2 linked regions of the Mus musculus genome follow. The protein of the gene in region 1 binds, or shares a complex with, the protein of each later gene. Links are inferred from orthologs where the notes say so. Each region holds a gene or a part of one and is shown on either strand. Other genes may lie near its edges.

Region 1 (4,443 bases):
CATCATGGTTTTCCCAATGCCGCCCATTAGCTCCCGACCCCGCATTCCGATCCTGAGGAGGAAACCAAGAAAGCAATTTGGGAATACAATTACAGGAATAGAGATTTGAACTAAGTACCCCCCTTTAAAATCTGTTGAATATATTAAGCACTAACAGCTTGACAATCTCATTTGTCATTCTTAAAATGCTACTCTTCCCCACATAGGATTAGCAATGACAAGGAAAATATCTATCTAGGGTCTCTAGGACCTGTGCTGAATGCTGCATTAGTTTGTAGATGCAGAGATAATGAAGTACATGGGCAAGAAAGCAGTCGTGTTTGTGCCTCTATGGTATTTTATCATTGAGTAGCCAGTTTTCTTCTAGATAATTCCTTAGTGTTTTGTTTTGTTTAACCTAGATTGAGTCAAGCGCTGCAATTTATAAACTGCATAAAGTGTAAAATGGACATTACAGACTCGGTAACTACACTTTTTAATTTATTATTTATTATTATTATTATTTATTTTGAGACGGTTTCTCTGTGTAACAGCCCTGGCTGTCTGGAACTCACATTTATATACCAGGCTAGTATCGAACTCAGGAATCTGCCACTCCGTCCAGAGTGCTGGTGGATTTAAGGTGCTCACAGCTAATGCTCGGTGGTTAACTACAGTACTTAGCACTACAATTAAACTAGTGCTGGGTAAATAGTAATTTATAAGCACAGTATCCAAATGTGATAGCAGTTTATCTCAGAGGTAGAATATTTCACTACACCTAATTCTCATCAGGCTTGCTTCATTACATGCAGTTGGGAGTTAAAACGCCATGCAACAATAATAACCCTTCGCTAAGTAATTACGACGTGCCAGATAATGTAAATCATACTAATATGATTGGCTCTTACAAAAGTGGAGGTAAGTGTCCAGTACTCCACTAAACTCAATAACACTGAACTAACAAAGGAGTCAGAAAGCCATTTTGACTTTAGAACTCAGATCCGTAAATCCTGTGCTTTCAACCTCGTCTGAGTGGGCTCTGGAGCCCTCGGAAGGCAGGAAGTTCTGTCCGCGAGGCTCACCTGAGACAGGAGAAGGTGCCGAACAGCGCCCCGGCCGCCATACCCACTGCGCAACCCATGACGAAGCCCATCTTCACGCGGTCGAAGCAGCTGGGCTGGGACTGCCCGTAGGGACCCACGGCCACCGGCATCTGCGGCGAGAGTGCTAGGACAGTGAGGGCCTGGTCACCAGCCGTGGCGTCGGCCAGGGGACGCACAGCAGGGTCACATAGCACCCGGGTCAGAAGCCAGCCCGCGGCACGCCTCCACCACCCTCGCGATGGAGGACCCCGCACGCGCGACGCAGGCCACTGTCGGGCCCCACCTCACCTCGTTCTCCGCTGCGATCGCTCAGCTCGACGTCTCACTCCGAATGCTAGGCGGAGGGCGCTCGCGGTCCGTGGGATCGCTTCCGGAGCACAGCGCAGTTACTTCCGGGAGCATGGGCTGAGGACTTGCAAGCGCCGCGGATGGTGGGCTCTGTGGCTGGGAACATGCTGCTGCGAGCCGCTTGGAGGCGGGCGTCGTTGGCGGCTACCTCCTTGGCCCTGGGAAGGTCCTCGGTGCCCACCCGGGGACTGCGCCTGCGCGGTACGTTCCCTTTCCTTTTCGTTCCCACGGTTTCTGGAGGAGCGAACCCCCTTGGGTCGGTGCTGCTAAGCACTGCATTATTGCGGATCCTACCCGCCTTGTTCCATCGCCCAGTCTCTTAAACCTTCCCGTCGCCCGGTCTCCTATTTGTTTTCGGGAGGGCCCTTACATACTGCTCCGCACTTCCCTTGAGCGGAATTCTCATCCTTCAGTTCTCTCCTGACCAAGTCTTAAAGATGCTAGATGAGCTTCCTCCTGCCGTGAACCTTTGAAGGAACCTGCGCTTTTCACTTTTCTTCTAAATGGCTTTGCTTTTTACAGCTCGTCCCACTCGGTGCTATGTAGTTTAAACATTGCCCCCGACTGCTGCTGCCCGCGCCCTTTCCAAGAACCCTGTGTCTATTACTTAACTCGATGTCTTTCAGCGCGTGTTGTTGTTTGTTTACTTTGACACTGGACCTCCGCCTTCCTTAAATTCACCTCAAAGAAGCTTTGACCATCTGTTGTTTTGTGTGCCCTTCGTCCACGGTTTCTCACTTTGCCACTGCTATCTGTTGTTAGTTGTAGATCATGGCCCCCATTCGCCTGTTCACTCAGAGGCAGAGGCAGTGCTGCGACCTCTCTACATGGACGTACAGGCCACCACTCCTCTGGTAAGGACTAACAGAGGTTCTTTGTAGGGAGGAAAGGTTAGAAGGACAAATTTCACCGACAGGCTAAAATTCATCCGACTTGAGAACTATTAAATGTGCTAGGAAAAGGAGCTGCCAGGAATCAGGAGGCTAAGATGTTAGTTTAGTAGAAAAGGCTTTACTGTTTTTTAGCTACTGACCCTGTCAGATCCTTCCAGTACAGGCATTATAACTAATAGTAATTGCTCGGGTGTTGGAGCTGGACAGTGTGGCATGGGTAGTTTGAGTGAGCTTAAGACCAGCCTAAGCCACATAGGGAGTTTCAAACCTATGTTGTTATTTTGTTTTGTTTTTAATTTTATATATACACAAGGACACTGTAGCTATGCTCAGACACTCCAGAAGAGGGCATCAGATTCCATTACAGATGGTTGTGAGCCACCATGTGGTTGCTGGGAATTGAACTCGGGACCTCTGGGAGAGCAGTCAGTGCTCTTTAACTGCTGAGCCATCTCTCCAGCCCCCTCAAACTTTTGTTTGTTTGTTTGTTTGTTTGTTAAATGTGCCAGGCATTGGTGGCACATGCCTTTAATCCCAGCATGGGGGGCGGGGGCAGAGGCTGGCAGATTTCCGAGTTCAAGGCCAGCCTGGTCTACAAAGTGAGTTCCAGGACAGCCAGGGCTATACAGAGAAACCCTGTCTCAAAAAACCCAAAAAGAAAAAAGAAAAGAAAAGTGTGTATCAGCACACCTGGCAGGCTTATAAATATGAGGTCAGATTCAACTACATAAGACCTTATCTTTCAATAAGTAAATGAAAAAATTAAAGAAAGACTTGTGGGAATTGCAGAACATTGCAGTTTGAAGTGGGCAACCTGGCAGGCTTATAAATATGAGGTCAGATTCAACTACATAAGACCTTATCTTTCAATAAGTAAATGAAAAAATTAAAGAAAGACTTGTGGGAATTGCAGAACATTGCAGTTTGAAGTGGGCATATATCAGGTTGCTATTTGATTAGTGTCTGAGAAGTGGAAGAAAGCAGAGAGTATCTGAAAGGTTGGAAATGCACTGAGCAAGGTTGGCAGGTAATGGTGGCTCGAGCAGGTTCTGAATTGACTTTGGGCTCTGTTTTCTTCTGTTCAGGATCCCAGAGTGCTTGATGCCATGCTCCCATACCTTGTCAACTACTATGGGAACCCTCATTCTCGGACTCATGCATATGGCTGGGAGAGCGAGGCAGCCATGGAACGTGCTCGCCAGGTTAGCACGAAGGACTGTGAGGAGTTCCAGTCAGTGGTCTATGTGACCTATTTCTTTCTTACAGATGGAAATAGCTGTTTTTCTAGAAGAGACTCAGGTAGTAGCTCTGGAATTTGACACTAAGTGTTTAATTAGTTCCCAGCTTCCCTAGGTGACCTCTGACAAATCCGCTCATTTCTCTAAGCCTTGAACTCCTCATCTACCAAGTGGAAAGTGAAATAGTTCATGCTGTATAAGATTATTGGGGAAATTAAATGAGGCAGTGCTCGTAAGGTTAACACTTGTGCATAACTCAAAACACATGTGGAAAGAGTTCAATAAATACATTTTTAAAAATGCATTTCGCGGGTCAATGGGACATGTCCATGGGTACCTTAACACAATGACTTGAATTTGATCCCTTAAATCTCCGTGGTATGTGTAGTTTTGTCTACACCACTTTATGTTCTTGGCTGGTTACACCTGTGTACACGGCCCAGAACCTATCTCACATCCAGGAATAGGAAACCACACACACCACGAGCTGGAGAGTTGGCTCAGCCGTTAAGAGCACTGACTTCTCTTCCAGAGGTCCTGAGTTCAGTTCTCAGCAACAACATGGTGGCTCACAACTGTCTGTAATGGGGTCCAATGCCCAATTCTGGTGTGTCTGAAGAGAGCAACAGTGTACTCACATATTTAAAATAAATAAATAAATCTTTTTAAAAAAGAGCCAGGTGATGGTAGCGCATGCCTTTAATCCCAGCACCTGGGAGGCAGAGGCAGGCGGATTTCTGAGTTTGAGGCCAGCCTGGTCTACAGAGTGAGTTCCAGGACAGCCAAGGCCACACAGAGAAACCCTGTCTTAGTAAATAAATAAATAAATAAATAAATAAATAAATAAATAAATAAATAAATAAGAGAAAACATACACAC
Region 2 (4,375 bases), on another chromosome or scaffold:
AGGCTCTATTCCACATGTGCAGGTTCCAACAGCTTAACCCTATTCTCTTCCCAGTCATCTGCTGCAGGTATAGCTGTCTCATGCCCCTGCCTGCCTATTCTGGCCAGTACCCTAAGCCCCAAGATCTCCAGCCCCTGCCCCAGTATCCTTGCCTTCTGATGCCTTAAAGTTGGGCCACAGGTCCTGCTGGGTCAGAGCCTCACAGATGCGGAGCTCCAAAAGCTCCGCTCAGGACCAAAGAGCTCTGGCCTAGGGTTCATCCTTTCTCCAGGTGTCTGCCCTGTGGACAGAAGGCTAAAGCCTTGATCTTGGCAAACCACCCCTTTTGCCCAAAGCCTGGATGCAGAGACCAGTATTTTCTGCTGGCTTCAACAGTCTCCCCTGCTGTCTGTGAAAGGTGACCATTGTACCCAGGCCACTGGGCCTCTACCATGTTCTTTCAAACCCAGGTCATTACCATCCCCAGGCTGGATCACTGGAGCAGGCCTCCTCTCTGTCCATGTGAGGGGGACCTAGGGGCTCTGCCCTTAGCCAGCTGAGCCACCACCAGCCTCCCTCCCCAAACATGATAACCCAAACCCACTCCAGTGGGTGTATCTCACCCCCTCACCCCACCCCCACCCCCTGCATAGACCTTTGCTGAATTAAAGTTTGTAAGTAAACGGTTTTAAAAAAAAAATCAGAGCTGGCTGGTTCTTGATATAAACCATGGGCCAGCAAACTAGCTCAGAATTCTGGTAACACAGACAGCCTGAGTTTTATCCCTCTGCCCCAAATGGTGGAAGGAGAGAACTGACTCCCGCAGATTGACCACTGACCTACACACATGTCACGGATGGGCTCATACACACAATCCCTAAAAATTTAAGTTGGGCTTGGAGGCCAGCCTGGTCTATATGAATTGCTTAGAGACTTAAGAATTTCTCAGTCTATAGAGATTCTGTCTCAAACAAAATTTAAATACTGGTTGCACATAACCGGTAATTCCAGCAAAGGAATTCGGAGATCAAGGCCAGACTAGGGGATCCTGTCTAAAAATTAGAGAACTCAGAGGTTGGTCCCAATTGCCGAACGTAGTTTTAGTTCCCAGCCCCACACTACCCATCAACTCTTCTGGGCTCCATAGGCACCCACTTGGTGCACATACGTACATATAAGCAGAACACATACAGTACGACCTAAGGGAAGAAATATCCAACCACAGGGCGAGGCCGGAAGTCCAGCTAGATCCCAGTGCATCACCTTTGACCTCACACGGCGCCCAAACGCTGCGTTTACTGTCGCTGAGGACGCGCAGAGCATGCTAGGTCTTCCGGTCACGTGGCCTATCATGGCCGCCTCCATGGCCCGGGGCGTGAGCGCCCGGGTCCTGTTACGGGCGGCCGGGGGATCTTGGGGACCCAGGGCCGGGCACGCGGCGGTAACATCTAGGACGTTCGGGACTACAGGTACATAGGGCTGGGCCGAGCCGCGGCGTGCAGCGAGGCCGCAGCCGCTCACCCACTCGTGTGTTTCCAGGCGAGCGGCGTGCTGGCGAGGAGGCGGCGGACAGCCCGGAGCTGCCCCGGGACGTGTGAGTGCCCCTCGTGCCACGCCCTGCCCCTCCCTGCCACTCCCTGCCTCCGGCTCAGCACCTGCACCCTGTTTGTCCCCAGGGTCAACGTGGTGTTCGTGGACCGCTCTGGCAAGCGGATCCCGGTGAGGGGCAAAGTCGGGGACAATGTTCTATACCTGGCCCAGCGCCACGGGGTGGACCTGGAAGGTAGGTCATATGAAACTAGGGAGATCCTTGGCATTCTTATACCTTTTTGTAATTTTGAGAGGTTTCCTATAGCTCAGGCTCGCCTCGAACTTACTATGTATCAGAGGATGACTTTGAACTGCTGACCCTCCTGGGACCTGGTGTGCACTACCACAATCCAATACTTTTGTTTAGGTGGTGTATGGGTGGGTCCGATCTCACTCTGTGAATCAGGCTGTCCAGGAACTTAAGTATGTAATCCCGGCTAGCCTCCAACTCATTGCAGTGAACCTACTGCCTCCACTTCCTGAGTCCTGAGACTACAGGCATGTGCTGCCTACCATATCACCAAATAGGTGGGATGGGAAGAACTGAGATGGAGTCCATGTTATTCAGGCTGTTCTGAAATCAGCTATATAACCAGGCTAGGCTCAAACTCACAATAGTGATGCCCCTGCCTCCACCTCTTTAGTGCCAAAATGGTTAAGACAGAGTCTCTGACTTACCCTTAAACCTGCTGGCTGATCATACTGCCTTAGCTTTCTCAGTTCTGAGAATACAGGTTGTCTCTACTGTTTTACCACCTTTGCGCTAACGCCAGTAAGATGGCAATAATGAAACTGGAAAGGTCGCCAGTGCTGAAGACTGCAGACGGCTTGTGAGAAGACCTGTGTTCTCTTCCTACCACCAGCTCTGTGCCAGGCAATTCACAGCCTTCTGTACCAGTAGTGCCGGGCACACTACCTCACCTCCATGGCACCTACTCACATGCACAACCCACACAGAGACACATGGAAACACTTAAAAATCTTTCTTTAAATTAACACTAAAATAAAACTAGGTTTTGGAGCAGCCCTTACTGAGCTGCTAGAATCTGTGCTCTCTTGGAAATTGTGGATTCTCCATGTTGACCCCCCATTCTCTAGTGCTGCCGCTGACTACCTTTTGGGGAGAGGTGGAACTGAAGCGGGATCACAGATGCACAGTGCTGTCCCTCACCACTCTCTTGCTGTTTTTCAGGCATCACAGCTCAGTCCTGTCCTAGCACCTCTGTGCTTATAATGTGAGAGGTGATTTCCCAGCAGATGACTTGGCTCCTCATTCTTCAGACTTGACAGCCTGGCATCCTTTCACCCAGCTTAAGCCTCCCGTGCCCATGTCTGTCTGTATTTAGTGGCCTCATAGAGCCTGGCTTTCATTTGCTTTCTGACATTTCTCCCACAGCCTCTTTCACACCTTGGCCTCCCAAGGCCCTCCATGTAAGCAGGTCTGAGATCAGTGTATGTTGAGTGCTAATTCCTTGGGACAGCTTTAGGAGTAAAGGGGGCAGTAGTTCCACCTTGCAGAGCAGGGAGCTGTACACCATATTATGGTAGGCAGGGTCCAGAAGCAAGAGTCACATGGCAAAACATGATTCAGACATGGGGCATTTCGTCCTCTCATGCCTCCCTTGAGTATCACCCTTGAGTGTTTTCTGTATTGTATTTATTTAGCGTGTATGTGTGTGTGTGTGTGTGTGTGTGTGTGTGTGTGTGTGTGTGTGTGCATGCATGCACGTGTGCGTGTACATGTGTGTGTGCACGTGCATGTGTGTGTGCATGCTTATGCCTCGCCGTAGAGGTCAGAGGATGGCCTGAGGGAGCTGGTTCACCCCTTCCATATTGTTTTCCTAGGGATTGAACTCAGGTCACTGGGCTTGCAGTGACCCCTTAACCCAGTCAGAACATTTCAGGGCAACCATCGACTAATAACAAGACCCTGTTTATATTCATACCCAGCCTGGGTAACTTAGCAAGAGTCCCTGTCTCAAAAATTATGACAAGTTATGAAAAAAACCTGCCACCTCCCCCAAATGACAAGAGTCTTTGTGTGAATACTATGTACTGTGTATACCAAAGTGACAGTCTTTTGTCATAGCATGCCGTTCTGAGCCTAACAGGAACTCTAAGCCCAAGAGTAAAGACAGGTTGTCATTGGCAGACAGTTGGAAGGGTCGGTGCTGGGTTAGTGGTGCAGCACTTGGGAGGAGAGGCTGTCTGTGACTTTGAGGCCAGCCTGGTGTCTACATAGCAAGTTCCAGGACAGCATACACAGTGAGTCTCTTTCTCAAAACAAACCCCAACCAGTAAAAAGCACTAGAGAGGTTGGGGGGCGGTGTGTGTGTGTGTGTGTGTGTGTGTGTGTGTGTGTATGTATGTGTGTGTATGGCTGATTCTGTTCCCGAGTCCGGCAGGCACTGTGCAGAACAGAATTTATAACAGTTCGGAAGCAAACAATTCATGTCTCTCGCGCCTCACCAGCTTTGTAAACTCCAAGCCGGTTTCTCTGAGCCTTTTGTTTCTTCTTTATAAAATGGTAGATTTAGCATCACTTTCAATGGCTTGTTGTGGGAATGAAAATAATTAATGCTTGGTAGAGAGGAGGGTCGACCAACAGCCAGCCCCAGGATAAAAAGGTGACTATAGATCCCCTAGCCAAAGGTGCACGAGCCCCGTGGTGGGCACTCCTTTGTCAGAAGCTGAGCGTCACAAGGCCTAGCTGAGCCTAGGAGCTGAAGACCAACCTCAGCAACACAGACCTAGATTAAACAAAGAGCACAAGTAAGGCCCGGCAGCTCAGGCCGGCAGTCCTGGC

Evidence for each region.
Region 2: the proteins of Nfs1 (region 1) and Fdx2 are in contact, whole or in part, in a cryo-EM structure (PDB 8RMC), measured with the Homo sapiens proteins. The link is inferred for Mus musculus from reciprocal best matches to the Homo sapiens genes NFS1 and FDX2. Residues at the interface, in NP_066923.3 of Homo sapiens: Gln153, Lys157, Leu160, Asp161, Arg164, Ala168, Tyr175, Ala384, Ser385, Leu386, Glu387, Pro388, Tyr390, Arg393, Gln456, His457; in NP_001384335.1 of Homo sapiens: Ala104, Cys105, Glu106, Ala110, Cys111, Pro141, Leu142, Ile169, Thr170, Arg171, Asn172, Phe173, Tyr174, Val175, Asp176, His178, Lys181.

The regions. Positions count from the first base shown.
Region 1 is NC_000068.7:156,141,211-156,145,653, reverse strand, and holds the start of Nfs1 (cysteine desulfurase, mitochondrial), read left to right. Parts: upstream 1-1,467; 5' UTR 1,468-1,513; coding exon 1,514-1,634; intron 1,635-2,195; coding exon 2,196-2,287; intron 2,288-3,411; coding exon 3,412-3,528; intron 3,529-4,443. Other genes in the region: Romo1 (reactive oxygen species modulator 1), read right to left, coding at 1-52, 1,065-1,195.
Region 2 is NC_000075.6:21,070,462-21,074,836, reverse strand, and holds the start of Fdx2 (ferredoxin-2, mitochondrial precursor), read left to right. Parts: upstream 1-1,305; 5' UTR 1,306-1,330; coding exon 1,331-1,448; exon of another isoform or gene 1,449-1,518; coding exon 1,519-1,573; exon of another isoform or gene 1,574-1,655; coding exon 1,656-1,762; intron 1,763-4,375. UniProt on the Homo sapiens protein: Electron donor, of the core iron-sulfur cluster (ISC) assembly complex, that acts to reduce the persulfide into sulfide during [2Fe-2S] clusters assembly on the scaffolding protein ISCU.